Canis lupus familiaris: one gene and its partner. The protein of the gene in region 2 purifies or fractionates together with the protein of the main gene of each other region. This does not show direct contact. Links are inferred from orthologs where the notes say so. Each region holds a gene or a part of one and is shown on either strand. Other genes may lie near its edges. The genes, in order: SNRPA1 and U2SURP.

Region 1 (16,431 bases), on a different chromosome or scaffold from region 2:
CATTTTTTGCTTCCGTTCAAACATGATTTGCTCAAGGGAACCTTCCCTGAGTTGCCAGGCGAGGTAGAAGCCCTCAGTTACATCCATATCAAAACTTATACTATGTGTTATGTTGAGTAGTTTTTACTTTACACCTCCAACATCCTGTCACAAAGTTGGCCTTCAAATATCAGAATAGCCAACGCTTACCGAAAATTTAGGCTAATGTTGTAAGTGCTATCTATGAACTGTCTTACTTATCCTCCCAAAAACCTTTTGAAGTTGTTACTATATGTTACTTCAAAATTTAAAATGAAGATATGGACTTAAAATTAAGTGAGGATGAAGAAATTCACCTAAAGATAGAGCCGGTGAGGCTAAGATCTGAGCTTCATGCTGTTTGCCCCCGAAGCTTGTGTTTCCAAGTAGTAAGGTATCTATCCTACACACAGACACACATACACACGGGTCCAAATCTACAAGGTTACTCTAGTGTTCGGTTTCACTGCATGGCTGGGGAATAATGTATGTTTCAACTTTTACATCAAAAACTCTCAGAGTCCTATATCATAATATTCTACATCAAACAACTTCTCTTTGAAGAGCATATAGAGGGATTTCGTGTACGTTGATGCAAGCATTTCTGGGGTCATAGCATCTGAACTGTTTTGGAATCACTTCAAGTATAACATTAATTTATTTGGAAGTCATGTCCTGACCTGATCTGCGTTCTCTGCCAGGTATCTGACCGGACTGTAGCAAGCCCTTCAGCCGCTCCACCTCAGCCAGGGTTGACGCATTTGCTATAGCATTCTGGAGGACAGAAAACAATGGACATGACCAGTTTATTGCATCTAAGTGTCAATCACACAGAAAACCCTACAGAAGTCCACGGCAACTCTGTGAGGTGGACTATTATACAGTTGTGCTGGGGTAAGAATTTTATCGTCATGTTGAAATCAAACCAAATCATAAATTCCCCAAATTGGTAGATGGATGTGGACCCTCTTACAAGAGAGAAAATAATCATTGCACATGTCCTAACAATTTAGTGAATTAAAGCACCTTTTTGGAACTATGTTACTGGATAATCTAGGAAGCAGTATTATGAAATTAGGATTTCCCATGATTAACTAACAGATCTTTCAGACAGCAAATCTTTGAAAAGCTAAGGCAAACACTGAGACAACATGCTAAGGTAATTTAACTATTTAAAAAAAAAAAAATAGATCCTGGGAAAATGACAAAGAACCAGAGCTGCCTCTGCTTTGACTGGCTCATGTAAATAATTCAAGTCAAAATCAGGTAGTAACTTTAAGCTAGTTCCTTCCTTACACGGAACATAGCAGGAACCTAACTCTTGTGGGGTTGTGGGGTGGGGTGGGGTGGGGTGGGGGAAGACACTACAATGTTTAGAATTTGGTCAATTACATATTTCATGTCCTAAAACCCACGGCAACTCTTTCCAGTCCAAGAGTCCTAACCCGTTATTACCTTGATTGCTTCTACATCCCCTGGAGATGGCCCACCTTTCTTTTTGTCAGTTGGCAAACCAGCACCTGGATTGAAACTTGGGAGGGGAAAGGAGAGGGAAGAATGCAACTGTTAAATCCAGACAAGGGAAACTGCTTCTCTTTTACTTTCAAAAAAAGCTTTTGAAAGTAATTCAACCAGTGTAGTATCTTATCTTTGTTAACAAACTGATACAAGAAACTCCCTCCTTCAGAAACACCACCCAGTTCATCTTCCTATAGAGAAGAAGCAGGAAGTATACAATGTCGCATTAAGACTGAACATGGAAGTATTTGCTAACCTGATGGAAATCTCATGTGATGTGTGGACCAGTGATGGTCACGGGGCTATCATCACACGAATTCAATACTGTGTTAGTCACAGGTGTTTTGTTTAATTCTGTAGGAGGGCAAAAAGCCAGACAGATAGTGTTTCTGAAGGTGAAGTGGAGTGAAGTTGGATTATCTGTATCTTACGTTTTGCTTCTCCTGGCAATATCCTTTGCAAGTTGTGCACCCCGTTTGCCCTTGAACATTTTCTCTGCTTCCTGACGCTCCTACAGCAACACCACACACAGAGTTAATGGAAATAGGAATACCACATGCATTTAAATGCATTCCTCAGAAAACATGGAAGGAAACTCTCCTGAAACACTCGGGGCTGGTAAAAATACCAAAAAGCCAATTTCAAATTAAAAGGAGACAAATGGCCTTGCCTTCTCTGGTGAAAGCTCCCTGAAGAAAGCTCCCCCTCCTAGTTTCGAGGAGGGGGTCTGGAGGAACTAAGAATGTTTAAAAAGAAAAAACAAAAAACACAAACCACACACAAACCAAAAACACACCTAGTAAAGAGAAAATCATTCTAACAATTACAGCTGCTGAAAAATGGATTATACTAAGGTCCCCACAGGGGAGTGGATCTAAACGATCTGTTGTTGATGGTGCTCATGGTTGCTCTGATATTGTACTACCTCTGAATGACCAACACTACCATGTAAGACAGCTTTAACTCAAAGTCCTGCTATATAAACTCTGCTATGAAAAATAAAGGACTTAACATTTTCCTTCCCACATTTTTATTACAAACCAATAGGAAAACTCATTAGGCAATTAAAAAAAAATCAGTAACAAAAGTATAAAATGAAACACACGAATCTACAATGACTTATAACCCACAGAACAATACTTACTTTTAGTTTCACTTTCTGGAAATCCAGTACTCTGACTTGCGGAACTTTATAAATTACATACAGTCTATAATGCTTCTTGTTTGTTACAGGATTTCTCAGAATACTACAAGAAAAGGAATAACATAATGCCAATCTTACTCACAGTGCAGCATTCAACAGGTCCATTTTAATGGAATCAGATGAGTCAATTTTGTCATGTTGCAGAGTTATTAAATTCACATTGGGGAGGTTTCACATTTTCAGTCCTTGTTTTTCAAAGGTCCTTCTTACTAACTGTTTGCTCTAAGATCAAGGCTGGTAATGGTGCTATTATAAAGGACTTAACTGTCACCACCACAGATCATTTCCATACCTTAGGTAAGTCAGTGATTTGAGAGATGCCAAAGGGTCTAGGTCACCCTGTAAAAGAAATGGCCAGAGGTAAGAATATGAATACCATAGGCTATTCTGATACTCTGATATGGCAGATGCCTTTGGAACAGGGACTCCTATCTTTTATTTCTTTAATGCCCTAGCACCTAGCACAATACTAGCACATCACCGATGCTTAGTAAATTACTGACTAAACTGTTAAGTAGATTTGAACTTCTTAAACTGAAAATCCTAGCCATAACAGCTTCTGTCTCAATATTAAGAGACCCCTCCCCCTCAAAAAAATTATATGTCCTGTAGCAAGCTCAAAAGGGCTAGACTTTAAAGGAATTATTTAGAAAAGAAATATATTAAAGTTTATGTGACTTCAGAGCAAATTATTCACACAAGGAACCTCAAACTGGATCTTGGGGTAAGGCGGTTTTTACCACTAGTACCTGGACATGCCTGGTGGTGACACAGGCATATCATCGTTGAGGCCTGGCACCTTTATTCAAGGTTCCCTCAAACTGCTTTAGATAATTATTCAAGGACAAAGAGTATAGGGGGAAGAAAAAGGACACAATTATGGGATAAAGGCAAGTTAGTTTTTGATTCTTTCCAAATTATCACATAAGATACAGCTCAACAAGGATAGCAAAACCAAAAGCCTATGGTCAACAACTACAATTAACCTAGACGAAAAGGCATTCTGGCAAGAATCCTAGCAGGTAGAGACAGACCATTGTGAGAGCTGCAAGACTGGCTTGGGAGCCAGCATTTGTACAGGAAGCAACAGCAGGACAGCAGAAAGGCTTGTGACAAATGTGAATACCCCAAAATGACCAAGAGTTCAGTCTGAGAACAGCAGCCAATAGCTATGTATCTTCCAATAAGGAGTACATTAAGTCCTGAAGCAACTGGGCAATTCTGGCCCTCATTCTTCGTACTAAACACAAATGGTATCCTTTCCAGGACAAAGCCCTACAGTGAGGATAGACTGGTAGGACCAGACTGAAATTGAGGACAAGGCAAAAGGAATAATGAGAGAAAAGTACAGGGGTACAGAGTAGGAGTTCAGAAAATAGTCTGCCATTTTTATTTTATTTTTTTTAAGATTTTGTTTATTCATTCATGAGAGAGAGAGAGAGAGAGAGAGAGAGAAAGAGGCGGAGACACAGGCAGAGGGAGAAGCAGGCTCCATGCAGGGAGCCCGATGCAGAATCTCCAGGATCATACCCTGGGCTGAAGGCAGCGCCAAACTACTGGGCCACCAAGGCTGCCCCTGGTTGCTATTTTTAAAGGCTTCACAATCAACCATCAGAGGGAGCTCTAGAGCATGCTACTGGCATGTCACCCCTAAAAGGGATACACAAGATGACCTAAAAGAAGACAAAGACAAACATCGAATGATCTCACTCGTATGTGTAATCTAATAATTAAAGAAAAACGAACAACTCTCAGCAACACGGAGTTGAATGGTGGTTACTGGGAACCCTGGGTGGCGCAGTGATTTAGCGTGCCTGCCTTTGGCCCAGGGCGTCATCCTGGAGACCCGGAATCAAATCCCACGTCGGGCTCCTGGTGCATGGAGCCTGCTTCTCCCTCTGCCTATGTCTCTGCCTCTCTCTTTCTCTCTCTCTCTCTGTGTGACTATCATAAATAAATATTTTAAAAAATTAAAAAAAAAAAAAGAATGGTTACTAGAGGCTGAAGTGTGGGGGAGGAGGGGAAATGAGCTACTGATCAGAGTACAAACTTTCAGTTATAAGACAAGTAAGTTCTGTTTGACATGGGGACTATTTACTACTGTATACTTGAAATTCGCTGATAATAGATCTCAAGTACTCTTACCCTACAAATAAAAAAGTAAATACTTGAGTGATGAATATGTGAGTTTGGTAACAGTGACCACTTCAAAACTATACATCTATCAAAATCACACTTTGCATCTTAAATACATACAATTTTTATTTATCACTCAAACTTCAGTAAAGCTGCAAAAAAACAAAACAAAAAGGAACAACGAATGGCAACTTTTGTTACACAGAGACACAGAAACTGTGGAAAACAGTGTCTTGATGGGTTTCTTAAAGACAGAATTAAGTAAATAATATGTGGGGGGTTTGAAATGTTTAAGGTCACTATTGTTTAAGAAACTAGAGGTATTGGTTAACTCAAAACTGTAATAAATACGTATTTTAGTTCCTACAATACTAAGAATAGGAATGAGTAATTCCTACACTCTTAGGAAAAGAATGACAGAGAGACACACACAGAGACACACACACACACACACACACACACACACAGAGTGAACACAGTAAAAGAGAGAAAAAGAAATGAATGATGAGTGGGTCAAACAATAACCTCCAGAAAAAGTGAGAAGACAAACTCAAATACACCAGTAATTAAATTAAATGTAAGCAGACCAAATACTTCATTTAAAAGAAAGACTTCACACTGGATTTCACAAAACAATCTTATCATTCGCTGTTTTCAAGAGATAAATCTAAAACATAAGTTACAGTAAAGCCTGAAGTTAATTTCGGATAGAAAAAAATATACAAATACTAAATAAAAGAAAGCTTGTTTGGGCGTAATTACAGCAGATAAAATAAACAGGGTAAAATATCACTAAAAAAGATAAAGAGGAGCACGACACAATATTAAAAAGGTTAGTTTACCAGGAAGGTATTAACAATTTAAAATTTGTGTATATCAACTAAGAGAACTTCAAAATACATTACTAAAATACAACTCCCTGTCAAATCCAGGAAGATGTATGAGATTTTTTTTTTTTTTTTAAGATTTTATTTATTTACTCATGAGAGACACAGAGATAAGCAGAGACACAGGCAGAGGGAGAAGCAGACTCCATGCAGGGAGCCCAATATGGGACTCGATCCCGGGACTCCAGAATCATGCCCTGGGCCAAAGGCAGATACTTAACCGCCAAGCCACCCAGGCGTCCCAATGTATGAGACTTTAACACACCTTTTCCAGTAACTGATAGCACAAACTCAGCCTTCATCTTTACAAACAGCTTTAAATATAAATACAATATACATAAAAATACAGCCTCTATCCTGGCACACATTTCCTTTGAATGTGCATTTTGGGTTGAAAATCTGGTATATTTTAGAAAAGACAGCCTGACCAGTCAGTGCTCTCTTACTTTTGGAGTTAAGTACTCCTTTAAGAATCCGAAGGAAGGGCAGCCTGGGTGGCTCAGTGGTTTAGCACCACCTTCAGCCCAGGGCGGGATCCCGGAGACCCAGGATCGAGTCCCACATAGGGCTCCCTGCATGGAGCCTGCTTCTCCCTCTGCCTGTGTCTGCCTCTGTCTCCATGAATAAATAAAATCATAAAAAAAAAAAAAAAAAAAGGAAAAAAAAAAAAAGATGAGCTACAGAGTGGAAAAGGCTATTTAACTGAACGAGGCCCTGATCTTGAATTAAGAAGATAAAGGATGATGGATGATGAAAAAACTTTCTGGACTTTCTAAGTTGTAAGAGGCAAGTAGCACCTTTAATTCCTCCCCCAAATACACCCCCCTCACCCGGTTGGACTTACCAGTTCCACAAGACTATTGTTGGTGAGAATGAGTTCTGTCAGACAGGGTAGAGCCTGATCAAGTCCCTCACCTATACGGCTAAAATGAAAATAAAAGACTTCTGTAAAAGTGAAAAAAAAAGTAGGTAAGCTAACCATTTTATCTAAATCCTTGAACAGAAGATTTCAGACTCTAAAGGTGAAAGAACTTTAGAGATCTTTGTTCCACCACCCTATTTGACAGGGAAAATGAAGCATGAAAGGGAAAACCTTGTCTGGGGTCACAAGGTTAGTGGCGGAAGTGGGGTGATTTTAGAACCTACGCCTCCCAAGGGTTGCCTGGGGTTCCTTCCATCACCACACTATCTAGTGAAAGCTAAGAGAAGAAGAAACTCCCGTGTAGAACTTTTGTGCAGGTAGCACAGAAGTACAAGTGACTCTGCATTCACACCTCAGGTACACAACAAACAACAACTACATCAGGGAATGGTTAAATCCATAAGAAAAAATTTTTTTAAAGATTTTATTTATTCATGAGAGATAGAGAGAGAGTCCAAGACACAGGCAGGGGGAGAAGCAGGCTCCCTGTGGGGAGCTGGATATAGGACTTGATCCCAGAACCCTGGGATCACGACCTGAGCCAAAGGCAGATGCTCAACCACTGAGACACCCAGGTACCCCTGAAATACGACATTTTTAAAAAGCAAGTCATTGAGGTGCCTCAGTCAGTTGAGTGTCTGACTCCTGATTTTGGCTCAGGTTGTGATCTCAGGGTCTTGGTAGGGAGCCCTGTGCCAGGCTCCATGCTCACTGGAGAGTCAGCTTTGGATTCTCCCCTTTTGTCCCTCCCTCCCTCCACTTGCATCTGAGCATGTGTGTGCTCTCTCTAAAATAAATAATCTTTAAAAATAAAAAAATAAGAAAGTCACTACCTAATACTTCTTAAAAACATTGTCTATTGACTTTCAACAACTTTTTTTGATAGAATTTACTCAGAGATTGGGGATCCCTGGGTGGCTCAGCGGTTTAGCGCCTGCCTTTGGCTCAGGGAGCAATCCTGGAGTCCCGGGATCGAGTCCCATGTCAGGCTCCCGGTGAGGAGCCTTGCCTCTCCCTCTGCCTGTGCCTCTCTCTCTCTCTCTGTGTCTATGAATAAATAAATAAATAAAAATCTTAAATATATATATATATATATATATATATATATATATATATGTAAAATTCTAAACATCAGTTGTAAAGAAAAACAAATGGCAGAGGGTGTGAGTTAGAGACATTCATTCAGCCAAAAATATAACTGTTGGGGGTGCCAGGGTGGCTCAGTCAGTTAAGCGCCTGACTCTTGATTTTGGCCCAGGTCTCGATCTCAGGGTGCTGCAACAGAGCCCCACAAGGAGGTTTACACTCAGTGGGGAAGCTGCTTGAGGATTTCTCTCTCTTTGCACCACTCCCTGCTCTCAGGCATGGGCTTTCATTCCCTAAAATAAATCAGTCTATCTATCTATATAAAATTGTTGAACTTTACATATCTTCTAAATATAATCCCTCTGATAATTACAATTAGTTTTAGAAGCCAAAATATGCACAAAACAGAATATTTGCAATTTAAATATCTATTACCATGAATATATAAGTATTTCTGAACAAATGCAAATAAAAACAAGACCATTACCAAGTTAATCTATGGGCCTATATGGCAAAAGTGTAGCTTGTTTCTCATTTTAAAAAGAAATACATTAAAAAAAAAAAAAAAAAAGACATACATAGGTCAGCCCCACTGGCCCAGCAGTTTAGCGCTGCCTACAGCCCAGGGTGTGATCCTGGAGACCCGTGATGGAGTCCTGCATGGGGCTCCCTGCATGGAGCCTGCTTCTCCCTCTGCCTGTGTTGTGTCTCTGCCTCTCTCTCCAAGTCTCTCTTGAATAAGTAAATAAAATCTTAATAAATAAATAAATAAATAAATAAATAAGAATACGTAGGCTCAACTGGCAGTATATGTACTATGGCTTCTTCAGGGAATGCTGCAATATTTACTCTGGGGGGCGGGGGGAGAATTACTCTCCACTAGCAGACACTTACCATATTCTATTGTTGTTCACTAATAATGTTTTCAGCCTTCTCAACAAAGGAAAACCATCCAGTTTCCTGATTTCATTGTCAGAAAAATCAATAGCATCAAACTGGTCTAAGGTAGCACCCAGATTTTCAATGACAGGAATTTTATACCCTGCAAAGTAGAAGGAAAAAAAAAAATACACAAGTATTGATATGGCTAAACGATACCTTAAAACCTTAGCAGTACTTCATGGTAATTTGACTCAAAGCTTCCATTTATTTAGAAAGTGTTTACCTGGTACCTGTGCTGTGCCAAACACTGTGCAAGTATCTGGCACATAAAATGAGGAACAAGGATCAGATGGCCCACTGCCACAGTCTAGGAGTGGACATGAAGTCAGTCATGACAACACCCGACACTTATTAATAGTAATATTGGTAGCTAACATTTGCAGGAGTATTTTTTAAGGTCCCTCACGCTGTTATAACCAAAGCTCCAGAAATAGGTAAATGGCATAATGAGAATTTACATTGTAAGCTGCTTTTTTGTCAGCGTCCAAGTCTTGTTCATACATTGTGGACAACAGCTCTTGACTCTGTTTGCATTCCCACAGGCCAGATACATAAAACTTACCAGGATATCCTTGTGATCTCATGACAGTTCTCCCTTACTGTACACTTCCCCCAGCTCCAATTCAGAGTTGAAGGTCAACAGTTTATACACAATAATACATCACCCTGTGAACAATTCACCAAACCCTCACGAGTTTGTCTTAAATGGGCATAACTACTGTGCTAGGTGCTGGCGGAAGAAAGAAACGAATCCAAGCCAAGGTTAAAGTACATAATTCAGAGCAACAAGGGTTGTAGCAAAGCAAACGCTATATCAAAACAAGTAGCCTCAACACTCGATGCACTTCACGCTTAGATGGTTAAAGATCAATCTTCGCCAAGAGAGCGACACTTAATTTCAACAAAATGAAAGCAGTCTGGCTTTGTCAGCAAGGAATCCAAGCTTAAGGCAAAGCCCACAACAGTGCTGCACCTCAGACGGTGTTCTTCTGTGGAGCCAAATCTCAGGCCCAAATTGTATTCCCAGAGAAACTGCTCTTCACATCATTCCTAGAGTCATTTCCTTGATATGCTGATTAGACAGCTGCACTCCCAATTTCCCACCAAGCCTTTACTAAGGTTGAAATGGCTACGTGAATTTGAATAGTTCAGAGCTTCTACCGCCTTACACAGGGAACTTGTACTGCAAGCCTCTTTAAAACCTTTTTTTTTTCTTTCAGTATTTTACTTATTGATTTCAGAGAGAGAGAGAGAGAGAGAGAGAGAGATGGCACAAGCAGGGAGAGCAGCGGGCAGAGAAAGAGGGAGAAGCAGGCTCCCCTCGGAGCAGGGAGCCCAATGCGGGGCTGGATCCTAGGACCCCTGGGGATCAAAGACACTTAACCGACCGAACCACCCAGGTGCCCCTCAAATGCTTTGATAAAAGAGAAATATGGGACAACTGAAGGGAAGAGGGAAGAAATCTTGCGGAAGCAATCGCTTTTGTTCTCCGACGTCATTTCCCCCCTCGCAAATTACAGGTAACACGTTCTCTTACTTACGCTCCCACAGTAACACCTGAACGTATTTACGAAGAACCAACCAGCCGCTGCGCACTAGCGTTACCAGCACGAACAACTTGCCAGCTCTCAAATAGTTGAGACTGAGAACTACGCCAAGCAAGGCCTGCCTGAGGCCCTCGGCTGTGGACCAGGAAGCGATCTACTGGCTGGGCGTGTGAGTAGGAACGAGGGTAACCCAAGGCTCAGAAGGGCCTAGGGATGGTCTCTGGCAGCACCGGGAAGACGCAGCCCCGGGCGGTGCTGCCACAGTCCGGCTCGGCGCCCACAAGGCAGGCCCGCGGGCCAAGCGCCGGCCCTCCGAGCACGCGGCTGGGCGCGAAGGCCCACCCACTCCTCGAGACTCACCCCGGAGATCCAGCTCGCGGTCCCGCACGGCGTTGGTGTACTGAGCCGCCTGCTCGATCAGCTCCGCCGTCAGCTTCACCATCCTGCTGCCTCCCGCTGCCGCTGCCGGTGCCGCGGCCCACCGGCTGCTTCCCGCCGCCTCCCGCCCGCCAGACTTCCCGGCGTACCCCGCGCCCCGCCGCCAGGCCTCACCAATCGCAGCCGGCGCATGCGCGCGCCGCTCGGCACCCAGGCCGAAGTAATCGATCGTGAGCAACGCCCACGATCTCGTCGTCTGCGGAGCTGCTGGAGCGCGCGGAACGTGTCTCGGGTTCTGGGTTTTTCCTTGGGGCGTGCTTGAAGGAGGGCCCCTGATTCCTGATGATGCTCTTGTCCGCAAGTTAAGCAAAATGTAATCGCACCCGAATAGAACTTTCTCATGCATCAATGCATTTTGAGGCGGGAGGAAACGCTGTGTCTGCCCTCGCCCCACCCAGGAGGGACGGGCACCCGGGGGATCCAGTGAAAGGTTCAGGACTTCAGGATTCCCGCCCCACCAGGGCAGGGTCGATCACAGCCCGCCCCGCTGGGATCGTCTTACCACCTAGCGCGCCCGACCCTGCCCCGCGCACAGTTCAGTTTTCGGTTAGGCTTGTGACCTCCAGGTATTTAAATATTTAACAGAAGCACGGGATACAGAAGAGTGCGCAAACCAGGAATCTGCAACGTGAAGAATACCCGCAGAGGGAGCGCACCTGCGTTGCTGCCTCCGGGTCCAGAAAAAAGAACACTTTTCCGAAAGCCTCCATCCCTTCCCAAAGGCAACCAGGAATCCCAACACCACAGATTAGTTTTTGCTTGCTTTTGATACAAATAGAGTCACGCAGCGTGCTCCCGTGCCTGGTGTCTTTGGTTTTGTGTTATAACTGGAATCCGTCCCAGGTTGCATCCAGCAATGGTTTGTTTACTTTTCGCTGCTGTGCAGAATCCCATGGTATATCTCAGACCACAATTTAGCCATTCTGCTGTTGATGGACATTAGGATCGTTTTGTCGTGGGGCTGTTCCGAATACCGCTATGCATTTTTGTTGTACGTGGATCCAATGCACACGTGTCCAAGTTTCTCCAGGAGTAGAGCTTCTGGGCATAGGGTATACTATCATCAATAAGTAATGCCTAACAGGCCAAGAGGCTGAAATAATACTAATATACATACTCTAGCTGTGTGCAAGAGGGTTTCCATCACTTCCAACCTCAGCCCCTTTAGTATTGCCAGTATAACTGTGGGGACTGGGGTGCATGGGTGGCCCAGTTGGCTAAGCGTGGGACTCTGGATTTCTGCTCAGGTCATGATCTCGGGTAGTGGAATGGAGCACGACCATTGGGCTCAGCCAGGAGCCTGCTTGGGATTCTCTCTCCCTCTCCCTCTGCTCCTCCCTGTGCATGCAAATTCTCTTTCAAATAATAGTAGGGCAGCCCTGGTGGCTCAGCGGTTTAGCGCCGCCTTCAGCCCAGGACGAGATCCTGGAGACCCAGGATCAGGTCCCACATCAGGCTCCCTGAATGGAGCCTGCTTCTCCCTCTGCCTGTGTCTCTGCCTCTCTGTGTGTGTGTCTCTCATGAATAAATAAAGTCTTTAAAAAATAAAATAATAATAATAAAAACAAATAATATTAGTATAAAAAATAATTATGGGGATTCTTATGGATGTGTTGCACTATTGTTTTGATTAGCTTGTCTCTAATAACTAATGAAGTTGAGGACCTTGTCATGTATGGTGTCTATTCAGGTATCTTTTGCAAAGTGCCCATTCAAGTCTGTGGTCCGTTTTCTTTTCTTACTGGATTGTCTGACTTTTTTTTATTGATTAATGGGATTTCTTTATGTATGCTGGATGTGAGCACACTCTGAGGCCTCCTTTTGCACTTTTTTTTTTTCTTTTGGTTAAAACTGCTTAAATACAAAAGAATTTGCAGAGACCAGAAATACTGTCCTTGTACAAGTCATCAATGCAGCAAACACAAATTATAGTCCATTATGTTCTGTTTAGGATAACATCCTATTCCCTAGATCACCAAATCATAATCTGGCTGCAATTCAAATCAAAAGGCTACTAAAGTAGCTTCCTCAACCCATTTTGCAGTGAGAACAAGGTTTCAAATGGTCCAGTTCAAGAGGAGTTCTCAGAGGAAAAGCTTAGCTCAGAAAGCCCTACGCATTGACTATCTTTTGTCCTCTTTTGTTGGGACAAAGTTTCACTGTGGTCATGTAGTCTGGGACAGAAAAAATTTTTCTGCTTACAGGCCTTTCCACTCTTTTTTTTTTTTTAAGATTTTATTTATTTATTCATGAGAGACCTAGAGAGAGACAGAGAGGCAGAGACACAGGCAGAGGGAGAAGCAGACTCCGTGCAGGGAGCCCGACGTGGGACTCGATCCTGCGACTCCAGGATCAGGTCCTGGGCTGAAGGCGGCGCTAAACCTCTGAGCCACCCCAGGCTGCCTGGCCTTTCCACTCTTAATGGTATTGTTTGATGACTGGAAGTTTCTAATTTTTATGTAATTCAATTCATCTTTTCCTTTCTGGTTAGAGGGTTGTATGTCTGTACATGTGCCCCCAAATATTTTGTTGCTGTTGTCTACTGGAGGCTTAATTGTTTTACCTTTCACACGTAGCTCTACCATCCCCCAGAATTCATTCCTTTTGAAATTTTTATTGAATTATGATATACTCACAGCAGAAGGCAAACCAAGCACACCCAAGTAACTGGCATCCGGATCAAGAACAGGACATTGCCACATTTGAGAAACTCCCTTCTTGTCCTTTTAGTCACACTCTTGCCCTAGTGGTAACCACGTCTTGCATAGATTGGTTTTGCTTAATTTTATATTTATGCAAATAAAATTGTGCCTTATGTATCTCTTGCTTAACATTGTGTTAGTTGTAGTTAACTTATTTTCATTGTTATATAGTATTTTGTTGTGTGAATATTCCAATTTATCCATTCTGCTGTTGATGAACATTTGGGTAATTTCCAGTTTGAACAATTAAAAATAGTACACCTATTATAATAGTGCACCTATGAATACAGCACCTATGAATACATATGCTAATACATACATGGAAATGGATTTGCTGGATCATAGGGTTAACTTACATTCACCTTAAGTTGATTCTTACTAGTTATCCTAAGTGGTTGTACTAATTTACACTCATTAACATTTGATAGTGTCTGTCTTTTTAATTTTGGCTATTCTGGTGGGTCAGCAATGGTATTGCATTGTGGTTTTAATTGTATTTTCTTAAGTACTAACACAATTGAGAACTTTAAAAAAAAATATTGTCCATTTAGATCACTGCTATTTGAAATGTCTGTTTAAGTGTTTTGCACATTTTTCTATTGGGCTGTTCTTTTTGCTGATTTGCAGATTTTTATATTTTTTGGATATGAGTTCTCGTAAGATATATGTGTAGTGAATATGTTCCCCCTCTCTGTGACTTGCCTTTTCTTAATGGTGTCTTTTGATGAACAGAAGTTCTTAATTTTTTTTTAAATTCTTTATTTACTTAACAGAAGGAGAGAGCACAAACAGGGGGAGCGGCAGAGGGAGGAGGAGAAGCAGGCTCCCCTCTGAGCAGGGAGTCCAACATGGGGCTTGATCCCTGGGTCCTGGGATCATGACCAGAGTCAAAGGCAGATGCTTTGACTGAGCCACCCAGGCATTCCTGGAAGTTCTTAATTTTAATGTATAATTTATGAACTTTTCCTTATGTAGTTCATGTTCTTTTTAGTCCTCTTTAAGAAATTTGCCCACCCCCAACTCATGAATATTTTCTTCTAAAAGTTTTGTTGTTTCACCTTTCACATTTGGATTTGCAGTATGTCTGGAATAGACATTTGTGTATGGTCTGGGGTAGGGATCAAGATATCTTTTTTCCCCATATGGATATTCATTTGATTCAGTATCATTTATTGAAAAGACCAACCCTTACCCACTGTTCTGCAGTAACTTTTTTCAAAAATTAAGTGTCCAAATATGTGAAGGTCTGCTTCTGGACTAGCTATTCTAGTCCATGGGTTTGGTTGCTTATTCTGGCATAATATCGTACTGTCACTTAAAAACTTGGTATTTGGGACACCTGGGTGGCTCAGCAGTTGAGCATCTGCCTTTGGCTCAGGGCATGATCCTGGGATCCAGGATCAAGTCCCACATCGGGCTCCTTGCAGGGAGCCTGTTTCTCCCTCTGCCTGTATCTCTGCCTCTCTCTGTGTGTCTCTCATGAATAAATACATAAAATCTTTAAAAAAAAAAAAAAAACTTGATATTTGCCTTTAAAAAGGCTTACACCTTTTTTTTTTAAAGATCCTCAAGTCTTGGTTGTTCTTGTCCTTTGCTTTTTAGTATACATTTTAGGTCAATTTTGCATCCAGGAAAGAACACATGCTTTGATTTATATTATATTGGATTTGTAGATAAGTTTGGAGAATTAATATCTTTACAGTATTGAGTATTCCAATCCATGAACATGGTATAACGTTACATGAATTTAGATTTTAATTTCTTATAGTGTTTTATAGTTTTTTTGTGTGTATGTAGAGGTCTTATCCATCTTTTATTAGACCTAGGTATATAATAGTTTTTGCTGCTGTTATAAACATCAAAAAGCTAAAGAAGCACCAGAAACTGAAAAAAAACAAAACAAAACAAACAAACAAACAAAAAAACAAATCCCATGTTCTAATTATTCAATGTGAGACACTGAAATACAATTTCAACAATTTCTAGTTGAAATACAGTTAATAGGGATCCCTGGGTGGCGCAGCGGTTTGGCGCCTGCCTTTGGCCCGGGGCGCGATCCTGGAGACCCGGGATCGAATCCCATGTCAGGCTCCTTGCATGGAGCCTGCTTCTCCCTCTGCCTATGTCTCTGTCTCTCTCTGTGACTATCATAAATAAATAAAATTTAAAAAAAAAAATACAGTTAATACTAACATTGTATCCAGCAATTTTACTAAACTCACATATTAATTCTAATGATTCATAACCATTCTTTTGGGTTTTCTGTGTACATACCATGCTGAGAATAATGATAGTTTTATTTCTTTCCAATTTTTATATTAGTCTTTTCTTTTTTTAAGATTTTATTTATTTTTCATGAGAGACACACACAGAAAAAGAGAGGCAGAGACACAGGCAGAGGGAGAAGCCGACTCCGTACAGGGAGCCCGACATGGAACTCGATCCTGGATCTCCAGGATCATGCCCTGGGCTGAAGGTGGCGCTAAACCGCTGAGCCACCCAGGCTGCCCTATATCAGTCTTTTCTTTATTTTTTGTGTAGTTTCACTGGCTGGGATCTTCAGCATGATGTTGTGGGCAATGCTAGAAGCAGACATCCTTAACAGGCTGGGGTGAGGAGAGGTGGGGAGGAGAACCCTAATCAAGTGATCAGTGTTAGTATCACCGATAATGGGAACATATCAAAATCATGATTCACTTACTAAAAAAAAGAAAAAAAAAGAAAAAAAAATGATTCACTTACTAGAATGGGATTGGAAGAACACAGCATCACTTCTGGGAGATTCCTGTCCAAGATGCATGATCTGAATGGAAATGTGAGGAAACCTCAGATAAATACAAACTGAGGGACAGCCTACAAGTAACAGGCCGATGGTCTCAAAGTTTCCAGGTTATGAAAGTCAGGGAACTGATGAATTGTTCTAGGTTGAAAGAACCTAGAGCATGCAAAGAATGATCTAAAGCGGATCCTTTTATTAAGGGCATTTTTGGGACAATTCACAAAACTTGAATCCAGTCAGAAGATTCGATGG
Region 2 (15,847 bases):
AACTGTAATTAAATGCCTTAACCTAAATTACTCTCCTGCAAAAAATTAGTTCCCTTGATTAACAAGGAACTTTACATTTAGGATACTTTCTGCTACCTAAACTGACCTCTTTGTTTTATAATATAGGAAAAGTAACTTGTCCAAGGGAAAAAGAAAAAAAAAAAAAAAAAAACCTAATAACAGAGCTAAGATTAAGACTCATATCTCCAAATGTCATTTCAGCATCGACTTCTGGAGAAAAGTCTCCCTGATTCATAAACACCAAAAAGGAACTCTGAGGAGGAAGTATATATTAATTACAAGAGAGCAACATAATTTCCTACTGCCTCGGAAAACAATCACAGTGAACTACACCAATACAATGATGATCAAAAGAGAACATAGCTTTACAAACAGTTCATGTTCTGTCTTTGGTCTCTTCCTTTATGCCTGCCACTATTTCTATTGTTTCCGTTTATTTACTACACAAGTGGCTAAATGTTCGATAAAAATAGTTATTTTTTAACTCTTATTTGTTCTAGTATAATTTATCAAGAAACTGATATGAAAACTTTCTATACATTAAAGTGGTTTAATGAATGCAGCAAATTTTTTAGAAAATTCTATAAACTAAGAAAAAATTCAAATTATTTATTACTGAGACTATTAACTAACAGAACAGTCCTCTTTTTTTTAATTCCTTACCCTTAATGTTTTATTTCAGGAATATCAGCTTACACCATTATACTTACAATTTTCTATAATATGAAGCATTGGCAACTTTGGCTGAAGAGTTATACAAAACATCAGAAACCAAATATAATCTGGCAATCTAGAATACCAAAAGATAACATAAAAGAGATTAAAAATAAAAACCAGCAGCAAATAATGTATCTAGAAAAAATTCAATACTGAAATTTTTTTGCAATCAGTGGTGTAAGGCTAATGTTTAGCTACAGTAAAAACAGCTAATTAGAAAAGTTATAAGAAACTCAACATTACCAAAGCCACTACTTTGGCAGGGATAAAATATGTAACTTCTTTACATTTCAACCTGTTGATAACCTGTATATAGAATTAACATAACAAGTTTCCCCAGAGAGGAGGAAAATAAGACTACATGGGAAAGATCTCTTCAGTCAAGTTCTTCATGCAAAAACAAAACAAACAAACAGAAAAAAAAACCACCAATTTCAATCCAAAAAGAAATCAACTATTATCTCTCTTTTACTTAATTAAATGTTCCATAAAGAGAAATCACTTCCATACCTTTTTGGGGAGGGGTGTCTTTAAGATGGACAATGACTCAGTAATGCAATCCACTATTTCTTCAGCAGCTTCAGCATTATTAAGACAGAAAACCATTGCATCTCCAATATCATTTTTCCTTGGAGTTAACCCCCGTAGGATTTCTTCTAATTTGTCCCTCTGTCTGAATACAAATGTTTTTAGCTTATAAATATTTACAGATATAAATTTCAAATTCCATTATAGTTTCTGCTCACAAACTAATTTCTTTAAAGCCCAGTTGGATAAAATTCTGAAGACTAAATTGTGTTAAGTCTGATTTAAATCCCCCAAATAGAATACATTTCTTTGAAGAGCTCATGGGGAAAGAATATTTCCTTTGTGAATAAAGGATTCCAGTGATTTTTAGTTTACAAATAAAGTAAATTTTAAATTATGGGCATTTGTTTCAAGAATGTTTGAGAGTGTCCCAGTCCTATTACCCCATTACAGTGGGGGGAAAAAAAAAGGCCTCCATGTTCTTCACTCTCTTTTGAAGTCAGTTACTTTAGCACTTCTGAAATAGAACAGGCTAAAGCAGGTGCTGGCAAACTTGGTAAAGGATCATACAGTATATATTTTAGGCTTTACAGGTCATATAGTCTCTCTTGTAGTTACCTGATTCCACTGCTATTAACATGAAAAAAGCCATAGACAACATATAAAGGGGGTAGGGGGGATCATGATTGTGCTCCAATAAGTCTGTTTACAAAAACATGAGACAGCCAGATTTAACATACAGGATGAGTTTGCAGATCCCTGGGCAAAAGTAATGATGAAAATACCTCTTCAGAAGCAAATATGTTTCAAATACATATAGCTCTGCATTAGCAAATGCTTTTACAAACAATGCATCAATGCAGCTAGTATTCAGAGCATACGCCACAATCTTTTAGCCGATTTTTTCCCATGAAGCATACAGAACTTCCTCTTAATACTTAATAGTACTTGTTTCTGCTTCTTAAACCAGACTAACTTCACTGTACCCATGCTGACTGAACTGAAGACTAACAAATATGTTTTCATGGTGGCCACACACTGCAAACTCTTGTGGAAAGACTGCATAACCAACCATCAGACTTCACAAAGCTCTACAGTAATTTTTTCTTCTTTAATGTTGCATTCAGAGAGCCAAGAATTCTAAAGGTCCCAAGATAATTTCTGTAAGAATCACAAATACTTCACTGCTAGAGAATCATTGCTAAGAGATCACCACCAACCGATGAGAGGTTTAGAAGGTTTTTTATCAAAAGGAGAGAAAAAGGTCAAAAGGACACACACTTATACTTGCCAGGACATTTCAAATTACATAGCACATGATGAGAAATGTTAATATTTTAATCATTCACACAAGTAAAAGAAAAAACATTTTATTTTAGGGCTAACATCTCAGTAAGACCATTAATTAAAGCGATTATTAAAGCAACTTTTCTGAATATGTAACAGGAAAAGAAAAAATTCTTACTCTTCCTTAAGTGCTCCCTTTTTACTGGGCTCCTCTACAAAAGCTTCTGTTTCTTGCTCTTCTGACATCCCATGCAGGTATGGATTTAATGGTGGTGGCCTCCAGAAAGACCCATTTTTGAACATACGAAAATCTTCTGTCCGCCACTTAGTTGGAGAATCTCCCTAATAAATGTCCAGAATGTTATTAGAAAGGCAAAATATCTCAGAGCTAAAGTTAACAAAGTTTTGATTCCACTTACCTGCAGAATAGAATAAAGCTTCCACCTATAGTAAACATGGGCTGGTGTCTGGTTTTCAAATAAGAATCTAAAACAAAACAAACAAAAAATTAAACATCATACACTTTAACAAAGAAATGTCTTCAATTAAATGTAAACAAATGAGAAATATTATTTGCCTATTTCATTTTAAATAAAACCAAAAGCAAAGATCCCTAAAAGAAATCCTCACCCACTGCCTTCTGCCATCTATTCCCTTCTTCACCCTAGCCCCCAGACTGCCTTTGTGATGAACATTAGTTCTCAGAAGGTATGTATGCATCTTACTGAGTCTTACAACCAATTTTATTGAACACTTATGTCAGGTATTATATATGGCAATGGATTTTCCCAAAACAGAAATTTCAAAAGGAGCGGGTTTTAGAAGACTTAGGAGTGTTAAATAAATGTCTTAGATACCATACCTATCAGAAGATAAGCAATTTTCTATAAAGCTCTATTGTTCTACTATGAAGAACTCTTTCACTGGAAAACATAAAGAGTAGTATTTTCCTCCCAGAGACTGCTAAAACCAATGTTATTTAATTAACCTAAATTAAAATCAGATGGAAAACTGACCCAAGTACATCCAGTCTAATTACTAAAACTACCTTCTCAACCCATTGCAAAAATCATCACACACTTTTAGAACTTTATTCTTGGAAATATTTTTAATTCCAAAAAATAAGTTAAAAGTATTTTTTAAGTGCACACCTGAGGATAAAAAACGTGGTAAATACATGCAATGGACTAGATTCAGCTTTAAAAGGTAAAGAAATTCTGATACATGCTTCGACATGGACAAATCTTGAAGATCTGCTTAATGAAGTGAGTCTCAAAGTACAAGGACTGAATGATTCCACTTATATGAGTTAACTAGAGTAAATAAATTCAAAGAGACAAAGTAGAATGGTGGCTACCAGAGGCTGGAAGACCCAGGATATAGAGTTACTGTACAAGGGGTACAATGTCAGTCATGGGAGATGAGAAAATTTCTAGAGATAGTGGTGACGGTTTGCACGAAAATGTGAACGCACTTGATGTCACTCAACTGTACATGTTAAAAATGGCAAAAATGGTACATTTTCTATTATTTGTATATTTTACCACAATAAAAAAAATGCACACCTGAACATAGGATTGTTGATTTCTCTGTTCATAATCATAGCTTCAAACATTGGCCCTTCACGTACAACAAACTCTATCATTCGATGTATCAGGGCGAGCAAATTCCTACAACAACAACACAGTTAAAGAAAATGGATTCAGACCTACCACTATATAAAACTATACTTGACCTAAGTTACTATAAATGTGCAGAAAAAGATTATTCTGCTGACTAATACAAAATTTTATGCCAAAAAATAACCTGGAGCATATGTTAATGCCTTGTGCATTAAGAGGGAGTGGGACAATGGGGATAAGGGAGTGGGAGGGGAAGGAAAGGTGAAGGGAAGGTGGGAAACCACAACACAGCTTCATAGCAATAAATATTTTTTTCTAAATGCCACTTAATTTTATTTTCCAAATGCAAAACATTAAATTATGAATCACAACTAATTGGAAAGCTGCAAATATATAAAATCAGTAAACTTACAGCTTACATGTTATCATAGCCATCTAAAAACTTACACACTATCTCAGTTTTAAAAGAAAATATTCCTAAACCAAGCACTTTTGTGGTGGTATTGAAATGTTATATACATGACTATAATTTGTAAAAAATGCAAAACTAATTAACAAGTTTAAGGCCTGATTTAATAAAAAATCCATCCAACTCTAGTGCTTTTCTGGTACACATACAGCAGACAGAGTTTTTATTGAATCTGACCTTTAATGAGGCAACATCCCTTTGGATCACACTTCAAATGGTTCATACAACTCATGACATGTATAATTCTGCCTGAATATTATGACTCAATGAAGCAATTATATTGCCAAAGCCTTAAATGGAGTCCTCTTTCCAAAATATTCCAAAATAAGGGACATGGTGAGATGCCTTTCCCATTTTTCAGAACAATTACTTTCCAATATTTAAGCCAAAAAGAAACTTCAATTTTTTAGTAGTCATTTTATTGGCTGGGTTCATAAGAAAATCTTTATTTTGAAAATCTAGGTTCTAAAATCATGTGACATAAAACACTATTTTAGACATTGATTACAGCATCTAGCAAAAATGACTCAGCTTATTATAAGCTGCTTTTGACTTCTCACTTCACCAGTCCCCAGCATATAGAGTAAGCAAATGGTAATTGGGAAAAGCAAAAGGATATTGGCTCTTGGTACAAGGCACACACTAAATTACACCTTTAGCATTCCCAGCTCAAATTAAGTTCATGTAATTGCTAGAATATAAATAGATATGTAGTTATAGAATAAGACAGATTTTTTTGGCTCTATAATGCCCTGCTTCAGAGTACATAAACAATAAAATAATTTATCTCATGGTCACTGTAATTATTTTCTCACAATTCAAACCAACCTACTTAAATGAACACTAAAATCTCTATATGGTGAAAAAATTTAATTTTTTTGACCTCCACTAGGTCAAAAAAATTATACGAAAGTTTAAATCTTTAATAAAGGGGAAACTAATATTTAAAACTATTAATTCAACCTCAAATTGTTAAAACAAACAAAAAAGCATCACTGAATTTTATATCTAAAAATTACTTGTCTTTCACAGAAGTATTAATTATTCTGCAAATATGCAGCTCTTGATATCCAAATGAGAATGTATTCTCAGCACCCATATAGGTATATTATTTTGAGAGAAGGGAGATAATGTAAACTTATGATTCAGTTCCAAAACTCCTGCTGGTATATGTCAAATTCAAGTGAAGGGATATTTTATGCGAATATCGTAATATATAAAATCAATTACTGGGGGACAAATACTATACATCCAGAAACTTGTATGAATTAAGTCAAATGCAACTTGACTTGAATATTATAAATGAAAAATGGTTTAGCAAGTTTAAACAAAGGATTCACTGTAATGGTGAGTTAAGAAGCTTCAACAAAATGTATACTCAAATTTTAGTTTAGAAATAAGCTGAACCACTGTAAAGCTACTACTGGAATATGCTTTTTGAATGCTACAAAAATACTTTCCTCTGAATGCTTTATCAGTGGAAAAATAACCCACTATAGTTTTAAACAGGCTTGTAAACTGGTAAAATGTATTTTTAGAAAATTTAAAGTTTAAAAGTTTTAAAATGTTTCATGTGATTATTTAAAATCAAAATCTGACAATTAGTTGTTACTAGCTTGAATTCAAGATTATTAAAGAATTGTAATCACATTTTTATTTAAAGATTGTGTATTTAACATCATTTTTAAAAGGGTGACTTTTCTATCAGAATGAAACAGTGTAGTACAAAAAGATGATATATTTTAAAGTGCATTATTTTATTTTAAAATGGCAATTATCTTACTCTGGGCAACAATAACAAAAAAAAAAAAAAACCAAAAAATTGTCTCTAGTTATAATAAAACCACATTTATTGGAGTCGATCGTACCAATGTCTGGTCAAAAACTGTATACTTTCCCAATCCATCCCATGATGTTTTCCTGGTCCCCCGCTGCCGCAGACAGTTCAGCTGGTGTTGCTCACCAAGGCCAATGTCAAAGAGAATTTGGTATTCTTTTGTGTTCATTTATTATTCAACCAGTGTTGTGTTCCTGTGTTTGGGAAAAGGCTTAGCTTGACTGAGCAAGAGCATACCTAGAGCATGAATTCTTCTGCTTTATCATTATGTTGAAAAAGAAAAAAAGGAAGAAAGGAAAATAAAAGAATTCCAAACACCTTTGTTACCACGAAAAAAATTTCTAGTATGTTCAGTGTTCATGAAAATAATAGGAATTCCTAATCAATTAGAAAAAACCAAAGCTATGCCCTTCCATAAGGAGAACTCAAACTAAGGTTGCATATTAAACACAGTAATTCAGGAACCAAGAGAAAAAAAACAGATTGGGTCAAATTGTAACATTATATGCAATTTAAGATACATTAAAACACCTATTTTCCCATCACAATAGTCTAATATTATCAGGCTAACAACTCCAGATTAAATCAAACACATTCTAACTACTAAAGCTATAAAATTCCCTACTTTGACAACAATAAAAACAAAAAGATAATGACATAAAATTGCAAAGTATACTAGAGTTAGTCACATATCCCCCCAAAAAAGTACTGGGAAGGAACCATTGCTCAGTCAAGATATTACCTTTTCCTCAACACCAGTTTTTTTTTAATTCAGAAGGGGATATTGTCTATATTTAGATCAGTAATAATAAAGAAAAACATGTACCTTTCTGTTGGGATAACCACTTTGACTATGGCTTGCGACAGAGTCTGTATATGAAGTCACATCAGATAATAAACATAGAATATGTGAGTATTGTTAACAAGTAACAAGCAAAAATATACATAATGCATTGAAAACACTACACATCTAATCACAAAGTTTTGCAGGCAATCACTGCATTTGAAGTAATTATACACTAAGCAATTACATAAATGCAAATGGATGTGTTCAGTGAACAATAACTGTTCACCAAATGCAAAGAATCAGAACATTCCTGCCAGAATGCACATCAATGCACTGAAATAGGTACTACACCGAGAATTATCAGATAAAGATTTTAATTTGTGAAATAATTAACTGTTTGCCTCTGACCATACAGTTTGCTACTTTGTTCCCAAGCCTTTAAAACCAGCCCTGTCATTTTAAGTGTAATTATTTCATAATAGAACCAACAAATTCTTATAAACTTGAAATTAAGTTGGTTTTATGTTTAATAAAAAGAAAATACTCACCCTTTGCTTTTAACTAGAGCAGTTAACTGTTTTAAAAAACCACATACGCTCTCAAATACTCTAACATCTCAGATCCTGAGAACTAAGTTAGCTAGCAGCCATCCAAACAGTTTAACTATTTAGGTTTTTCTAATTGAAAAGTCACTTAACCAAATACAAAATATCACTTTCTCAGAACAAAGTAAATTTAGATACTGCACTTAAGCAAACCTGGATACAACAGTGGACAAAAGGGAAAAAAACTTAAGTGGTCAAAAAAGGAATGGTAGCCACAAATAAAAATATGACCTAGTATTTCAATATAGGGTTTCCATGGGCTAAGGCAGGGAACACATCTACTTATTTCTTTCAGAGTTGTCAAACAGAATTACACACACACTTTCTATAAAATTATTGAAAAGAAAGACTACCACAGATTTAGTATTTACAAATTAAGATGCGGCCCTATGTACATTTTTTAAATTACCTTCTCAAAATCCTCCTTGTTTTTAGGTGGCGGTAACATTGGAGCATTGGGGTTTTTTAACCTCTCTCTAGGCTGCGCATTAAAAGGCAGTCCTGATGGAGGTGGGGGAAGTGTATGTTCCATCATAGAAGGCGGAATGTATATTGGATGTGGAGGAATAGGCACAGCTTTACCCCAACCTAACTTCATTTCAAAAGACATAATCATCTTTCCTACAAAAAAGAAAAGAAAGGTCACCCTGGTTAACTCTCAAAAGAAAAAATTTCTGTTAATTTGAATTATTTTTCATGTTTAACCTTTCCAGTTCTGGTCCATTTTCCCCCTAGAGGTGTTTTGTTTGTTTGTTTTAAAGATTTTATTTATTCATTCATGAGAGACACACAGAGAGAGAGAGAGAGAGAGAGAGAGAGAGAGAGAGAGGCAGAGGGAGAAGTAGGCTCCATGCAGGGAGCCCGACATGGGACTAGATCCCGCGTCTCCAGAATCACATCCTGGGCTGAAGGTGGCGCTAAACTGCTGAGCCCCCAAGGCTGCCCCCCCCCACCCCGAGTTTTTATAAATACTTTTCAGAGCCAGGAAAAAAAGTGAATTCTATAGTAGACAATAAAAACTTTCTTACCATTTAAATTTTTTAAAGCTCTTTCAGCATCTCTTCTATTCATAAAAGCCACAAAGCCACAATTTCTCTCTCTTGCTCTTTCTTCATCAGTTCTAGGCCACATAATTTTCACACTGGCTAAGGGTCCAAATCTTCCAAATTCTTGACAAAGCATTTCTTCATTCATCTATTAAAAAGCATATGAGGGGTTTTTTTGGTATGCAAATAAAAGGGGGAAATTCTATCCAAAAGCAAGCAAATGTTTACAAAATGAACAGTGAGACATATCAATGCTACAATTTTCCACTGAAGCACCAGGACCTCTATACAGTAAAATCTTGCCCTCAGGTGACATTCACAAATCTTTTCATACCAGAAACACAAGTGTTCAGGGTGAGGAGGCTTGGTGGCTAAATAAATCAAAAGTACACCTCTATCTAGCTCTCCTCCTGTTCCTTTTGAGATCTTGCATATTTAAAATAAGCTGTTCTTCGGCACTGGTTTGTTTTTGCATTTAGCAACGTTTATCAGGCAACAGTGATTATCACATTTAAGACAAGTAAAAAATATATGTTGGTAATGAAAGCAAAAAAAAAGATCTGATCACTTTCTCTTTTTCCAATACCCAACATTATCAAGAAGAGAGAAAAGAGTAAATACACAATGAGGTCCAAAACATACATAATTTAAAAGAGCATATTATGGATAACTACCACTACATTCTTCATAACACAAGTAACGCTGAAGTGAGGAAAAGAATTAAGAAGAAGCACAAATTACTAGTTTGCTATCGTGAAAAGAAAAAAGAAAAAGGATATCATTAAGGAAGCAAGCTATGCATAAGGTAGTCTCAAAAGAGCACTGTCCACCACAGATCATGATTTGATAAATAAAAAAAAATCAGTACACAGTAAGACATTTCAAATTCAGACAGTCTAGTCAGAGAAAGACGAGATAAGCACTGTGGCAAGACAGTTCAGCCATATCAACAAGCCTCAATTTTATAAGATAATTTTAGAGACTTCTATAGTTTCTGAAGTTCCATCAAGTCTGCTTACTTCAGGTGCTTGATTTTATTTTTTCATTGACAAGGCAGTTTTCTTCCATAATTATAAAAAATATGAGCCAATGTTCATCTAACTTTTCTAATATTACCTGTGGATTAATGTTTCCAAGATATAAATTAGTAGTGCTTGGATCTCCTACATCATGTGAGCCAGGTGCATAATCATCAAGAACTAGGACAAAGAGGGGGAAAAGAATTATAACCTGCAAACTACAAAATTTGGACAATTTCTATTAATTAAAAAAGCAAAAAACTGTATTACCACCAGATGATCTATTTCTTCTGGAAGGCGCATCCACTTTAAAGGAAGGAAAAGAAAACAGTTCTTAGTTTTTTAGAATAGTTAATCACAAATATAAACATTAAAATAAATGCCACTTACTAGAACGACGCTGACCATCAGAATCTGACTGAGGAGGCTCAAATCGGCTTAACCTGCCTTTTGTCTTATGTCTCTCATCACGCTCTTCCTGAATTCTGTTGAAAACATTTGTTATCACTAATAATGAGCCAAAAGTTGTTCATTCACAGTTATTAAGAATATAAGTTATCCAGGTACCATGTTCATATAACTTGAAATATTTGTAAGTAATTAAATGCCAGCACTAACAACCGAGATTAGAAAGAAAGTCCCTCAGCTATTAGTCATGAGCAAATTTCTGATATGTCATGCAAGCATTAGAATACAAAACCCACTTCTAAGGTGAGGAGCAAATTCAACATTAAAACCACTGAATCTGTCCTTTCTTGGTTAAGTTTGCTCACTCCTCACCCCTACCTCAGTGACTACATTGTTTCCACTGCAAACAGGACTCCGGACATTAGATAAATCAATTGAATTGCATCCATATTTTGTTACCAATCTAGATGCTGGATGACATGCTAATACATTTTCAAAAACACCCTAAAAAAATCACTAATATCTAAAGCAACTTCACCATAGGTAAGGGAGTTAGTGATAGCTAACTGGTACACTATACCTGCTTCTCCATACCTGCTTCTCTAAGTATCGGCTCAATATACCTATGATAACCATTCTCCATACTATAAAACTTACTGTTTCAATTCTTCTTTGAAGAGTTCCAAATTGCTTTTTTTCTTTTCTTTCTCCCCTTTCTTCAGTGGCTATGAAGGATATGACAAGTTATACTTCAAACAAAAATGGTTAAACAAAACTAATGGTTCAATAATCAGATCATTTTAAATAATTTTTATTTTAGTGCCAATTATGTTCAAATTAAAATGAATGCTTCTGTTCTCACTGCATTTCCTTCCTGTTCTCTCGAACTAAGAATTTAACAATTTGATTATTAAAGCAATTAAAGAAAATGACATGCAGCAGTCTTAAAGTAAAGCAGCCACAAACTTTATCTCCCAAAAGCCTGTGATACTTAGGCCTGAATATTGTTAGAGGGAATCAGGGGGCAAAACTAATGAACATAAAGGAATTGAACTGCCAAGTAACCACCATGAGCAACTACCAAAAATACGCTCTTCAAAACAGTCACCTTAAGAGGACTACGAATTATTGAAATAATCAGTAACATCTTTGGAATTCCTCTTTAAAAACTACTTTTGAGGGGCACCTGGGTGGCTCAGTGGTGGAGCATCTGCCTTCAGCTCAGGTCCTGATCCCAGAGTCCCGGGATTGAGTTCCATATCAGGCTTCCCACAGGGAGCCTGCTTCTCTCTCTGCCTATATCTTTGCCTCTTTCTTTGTCTTTTGTGAATAAATAAAATCTTCTTTAAAAATCTAAAAATAAATAAATAAAACTGCTTTTGAAATCGCTCTCTTAAAAGTGCCAAAATAATTTAAGGGGGAAGAAATAGCCTATTTTCACAAAAAGTGTGAGAACCATCGAATATCCACATGCAAGAAGAAACTGGGGTTGGAACTCTTCTTCTCACCACACACAAAGATTAACTCAAATGACTCAAATACCTAAATTTAAGCACTAAAACTATAAAACTCAAAGAGAAAAACACAGGAATAAATCTTCAGGATTTTGAGGCAATAGTTTCTTAGATATGACATTAAAAGCACAAGTGACATAAAAATAAAACTGATAAACTCACTTTCATTACAATTAAAAACTTTTGAAAAAAAAAAAAAAAACAATTAAAAACTTTTGTGCTTCAGGGTGGCTGGGTAGCCACCTTGGGTGGCCCTGGGTGGGCCTGCCTTTGGCCCACAGCGTGATCCTGGAGTCCCAGGATTGAATCCTGCATCAGGCTTCCTGCATGGAGCCTGCTTCTCTCTCTGCCTGTGTCTCTGCCCACCACCCTCCCTCTGTGTCTATCATGAATAAATAAATAAAATCTTAAAAAAAAAAAAAAAAAACCAACTTTTGTGCTTCAAATGACACTATCAATAAAGGACAAAGACAAATCACAGAATGGGAGAAAACGTGTGCAAATCAAATAGCTGATAAAAGACTTGACTTCAGGAAGCATATAATACTTTTACAGCTTAATAATAAAAAGACAACAAATCGCCCAATTAAAAAATGGGTCAAGGATCTGAAAGACATTTCTCCACAGAAGACTACAAATGGATGATATAAACATAAAAAGATGCTCAACATCATTAGGGAAGTGCAAAACAAAGCCACAATTAGGTACAACTTCACACTCACTGAGATGACTAAAATTTTAAAAATAGAGAATTTTAACAAGTGTTGGTAAAGATGTATAAAAATTAGAACACTCATATGACGCTGATGAGACTATAAAATGGTATAGCTAATTTGAAAAAGTTTTGGCAGTTTCTTAAAAGGTTAAACAAATTAATTACCATATGACCTAGCAATTCCACTCCTAGGTATATATAAGAGAACTAAATACATAAGTCCACAAAAAAAAGCCTACGTACAAACGTTTATAGCAACATTATCCATAATGGCAAAAAAGTGGAGACAACCCAAATGTCAAGTGATACACAGATAAACAGTATGTGTTATATCCATAAAACAGAATATTATTCAACTATAAAAAAGAATGCAGTACTAATGTGCCAGAATACAGATGGACCTTGAAATATTATGCTAAGTAAAGAAGCCAGAAACAAAAAGCCACATGTTGTATGATTCCATCTGCATGAAATGTCTCAAACAGGCAAATTTCATACAGACAAAAAGTAGATTAGTGTCTGCCAGGGGTAAGGGGTGACTAAAAATAGGTATAAGGTTTCTTTCTGGGGAAATAAAAATGTACTGAAATTAGAGATTAGTGATTGCTGCACAACTGTGAATACACTTTAAAAAATAACTGTATACTTTATAAATGGTAATGTGAATTACATCTCAATAAAACTGTTTTTTTTTTTCCATTGCTTTCAGAGCTATTTTCCAAGTCACACTAGAGAAGTGAATCTCATCATTCAATGTAATCATATTCCTTCACCAGTGAGGCTCCAAATGACATGACCCACATCTATCTTCTGACCCCCATGAAAAATCCCACCATCAAAAAATAAAAAATCTTCTAACACTGAGAATATTTAAAAGAAAGTGCCACTAGCTCATAGTAATTCCAAATAAAATTCAAAAATGTGCCTAGGCTAAAGATACATTATTGGAATACGTATAAGTCTTCCAAGGTAACTGCCACTACACATGTTGGTATTATTTCAGTTCAGGATTACTTAAAAAGACAAACCCGTTATTTTATATTTATACCTATAGTCAACATTTTACTTGCAGTATACTCTTAGTATAACACCAAAGGTTCACTGCTCAAAGAATATAAGAAGAATATTGCCTACATGCCCTACTCTAATTTATGAACTCTTCTCTAGGAAGATTAAACACCAAAACTCAACATCTACTCCCAAAATAATTAAAAACAAGAAACCAAAGTCCTGCTTACAGTGGAAGTACTAAAATATCATTGGCAGTATGATCTCTGAACATAAATAGTCACCTATTTAATTATGACTTACAGGTTTTTTGGTTTCTATCACAAGAAGAGACGGTGGTCTTTCATTGGATGACTGATTTGGAGGATTTTTTTGATCTGCAAATCTTGAAGATGGTTTATAAATTTTACCTCTTTTTTCATCTGTTTCATGTTCTTCTGAAATTTAAAACACTAAGTTTCAAAACTAATTTTCAAAAATAATTTATTATTTGGAGTTTTATTATTTTTTATTTGAAAATGAACAGAAATTAGTAAAATGCTTTTAGCACTAAGATATAATATGAAATTAAATTCACATTACCTACGACCTTGCTCTCAAAAATACTAATTTAATCATTTTATAGTAAAACTATGAAATATATTAAAATTTTTGCAAAGTGCTCTGCTATATTCAACACTGAAAGGTACTAAATATTTTTAAAATTTATCTGGCTCCAATTTCTCGTTAATCCACATCTGGCCATTTATTCTGCTAATTAATGAGTAATATCAACACTAGAGGGTGCTGATAAAAAAGAAATGTGAAATTCAAAAGACACCAAACATCTTTCATAATTGCCTACAGTCATTCTACCAAGAATTTTTGGTTTTGTTCAAGGATTATAATATTGACACTAACCTTTAGCTGCATTAACCACACCTCCACGCACAAATGTCTTCACTTTATTACCATCACTTCCTTCAAAAGCAGCAAGAAATTCCTCATAAATCTCAGCAGCTGCCTTTTCATCTTCCTAAATACACATGAAGATATTAATATCACTTAAGATGAAAATTACTATTGTACACGGGGTGAAACTCATTAGGGAATAATGTAAATAAAACCTTTCCCTTCACTAGGAAAACCTAATAGTTAATAATATCTAATGTTTAGTAGATATTAGATACAAATTAACACTGAAACTAAGGGAGACTTTGATCCTCTACTGGCAATTTATGAAACCAGTAAAGGACCCAGTAAGTAAATTTGTTTAGAGACATCAAAAGTCAAACTGTATGACAACTAACCATATAAAACATGTAACTCCATGTTTTTGACATTTTCAAAGCATGACAATTTAGTTATTATAAAGATTTCCCTCAGAAACCATGAAAGACATAAGTATTAGAAGTTGAAGCAGCAATAACCCTACAGTTGGCATTAGGAAAAAAGCTCAAAAAGAACCTGGACAATTTCAATTATAATTCTTCTCAATGTACCCAAAACATGTATGCATAAAAGGCCAATGGAACAGAACAGAAAATAGAGAAGTAAGTCCAACAACACTAGGAAATTTAGTATTCAATAAAAGGAGCATCTCAAATCAATGGAGAATAGATCAACTTTTCAATGATGTTGGGATAACTTGATAACTATTTGAAAAAATAAAAATAAAAATGAACCAGTTCTCCACATCATATACCAAGGAAAAACTGCAAATGAACCAGATTTAACTTTTTTTTAAGTGAAACTATTAAAGTATTACAAAAAACATGAGGAAATTTCTTTACAAGCTCCAAGAAAGAAAAACACTGAAAACTAGAAATCTTAAGGAAAGTTGTATAACAATAAACAATTTCTGCATGGAAAAAAACACAAGCAGCAAAATAAAAAAACAATCGACAGACTGGGAAAAAACACTGCACCTTGTGTCATAGACCAAGTGTTAATATATTTAATATACAAAGTTTCTAAAAACAGAGATAACCCAATAATTTCTAGAAAGACTGGGTTAGATATACGCAGACAGCTAGCTCACAGAAACACAAAAGCTGTTCAACCTTACTTACAAGAGAAATGTAAATTTAAAACTACATTGAGATACTATTTTTTACTGAGCCAACTGGCAAAACTTTAAAAACATCCTCTGTTGGTAAGGCTATAGGTAAACAACCTCTCATACATTACTGAGAGTAGGTGGAAAATGGCCCTGGCTTTATAGAGAGCAATTTGTCAATATTCAACAGAGCTACATTTATGCATTTACCATTCAACCCAGTAAT

Evidence for each region.
Region 1: the proteins of U2SURP (region 2) and SNRPA1 purify together in Homo sapiens (affinity purification with mass spectrometry; 5 studies listed by BioGRID and IntAct, with this or other methods). This does not show direct contact. The link is inferred for Canis lupus familiaris from reciprocal best matches to the Homo sapiens genes U2SURP and SNRPA1.

What each region holds. Positions count from the first base shown.
Region 1 is NC_049224.1:40,135,549-40,151,979, reverse strand, and holds the start of SNRPA1 (U2 small nuclear ribonucleoprotein A'), read right to left. Parts: upstream 10,807-16,431; 5' UTR 10,703-10,806; coding exon 10,621-10,702; exon of another isoform or gene 10,104-10,620; intron 8,814-10,103; coding exon 8,666-8,813; intron 6,687-8,665; coding exon 6,608-6,686; intron 3,080-6,607; coding exon 3,033-3,079; intron 2,784-3,032; coding exon 2,681-2,783; intron 2,048-2,680; coding exon 1,968-2,047; intron 1,550-1,967; coding exon 1,474-1,549; intron 793-1,473; coding exon 699-792; intron 1-698. UniProt on the Homo sapiens protein: Involved in pre-mRNA splicing as component of the spliceosome. Associated with sn-RNP U2, where it contributes to the binding of stem loop IV of U2 snRNA.
Region 2 is NC_049244.1:39,146,410-39,162,256, reverse strand, and holds part of U2SURP (U2 snRNP-associated SURP motif-containing protein), read right to left. Parts: intron 14,599-15,847; coding exon 14,484-14,598; intron 14,021-14,483; coding exon 13,887-14,020; intron 11,072-13,886; coding exon 11,004-11,071; intron 10,424-11,003; coding exon 10,329-10,423; intron 10,245-10,328; coding exon 10,209-10,244; intron 10,119-10,208; coding exon 10,036-10,118; intron 9,068-10,035; coding exon 8,902-9,067; intron 8,495-8,901; coding exon 8,283-8,494; intron 7,352-8,282; coding exon 7,308-7,351; intron 4,224-7,307; coding exon 4,119-4,223; intron 3,040-4,118; coding exon 2,973-3,039; intron 2,896-2,972; coding exon 2,732-2,895; intron 1,412-2,731; coding exon 1,249-1,411; intron 812-1,248; coding exon 732-811; intron 1-731.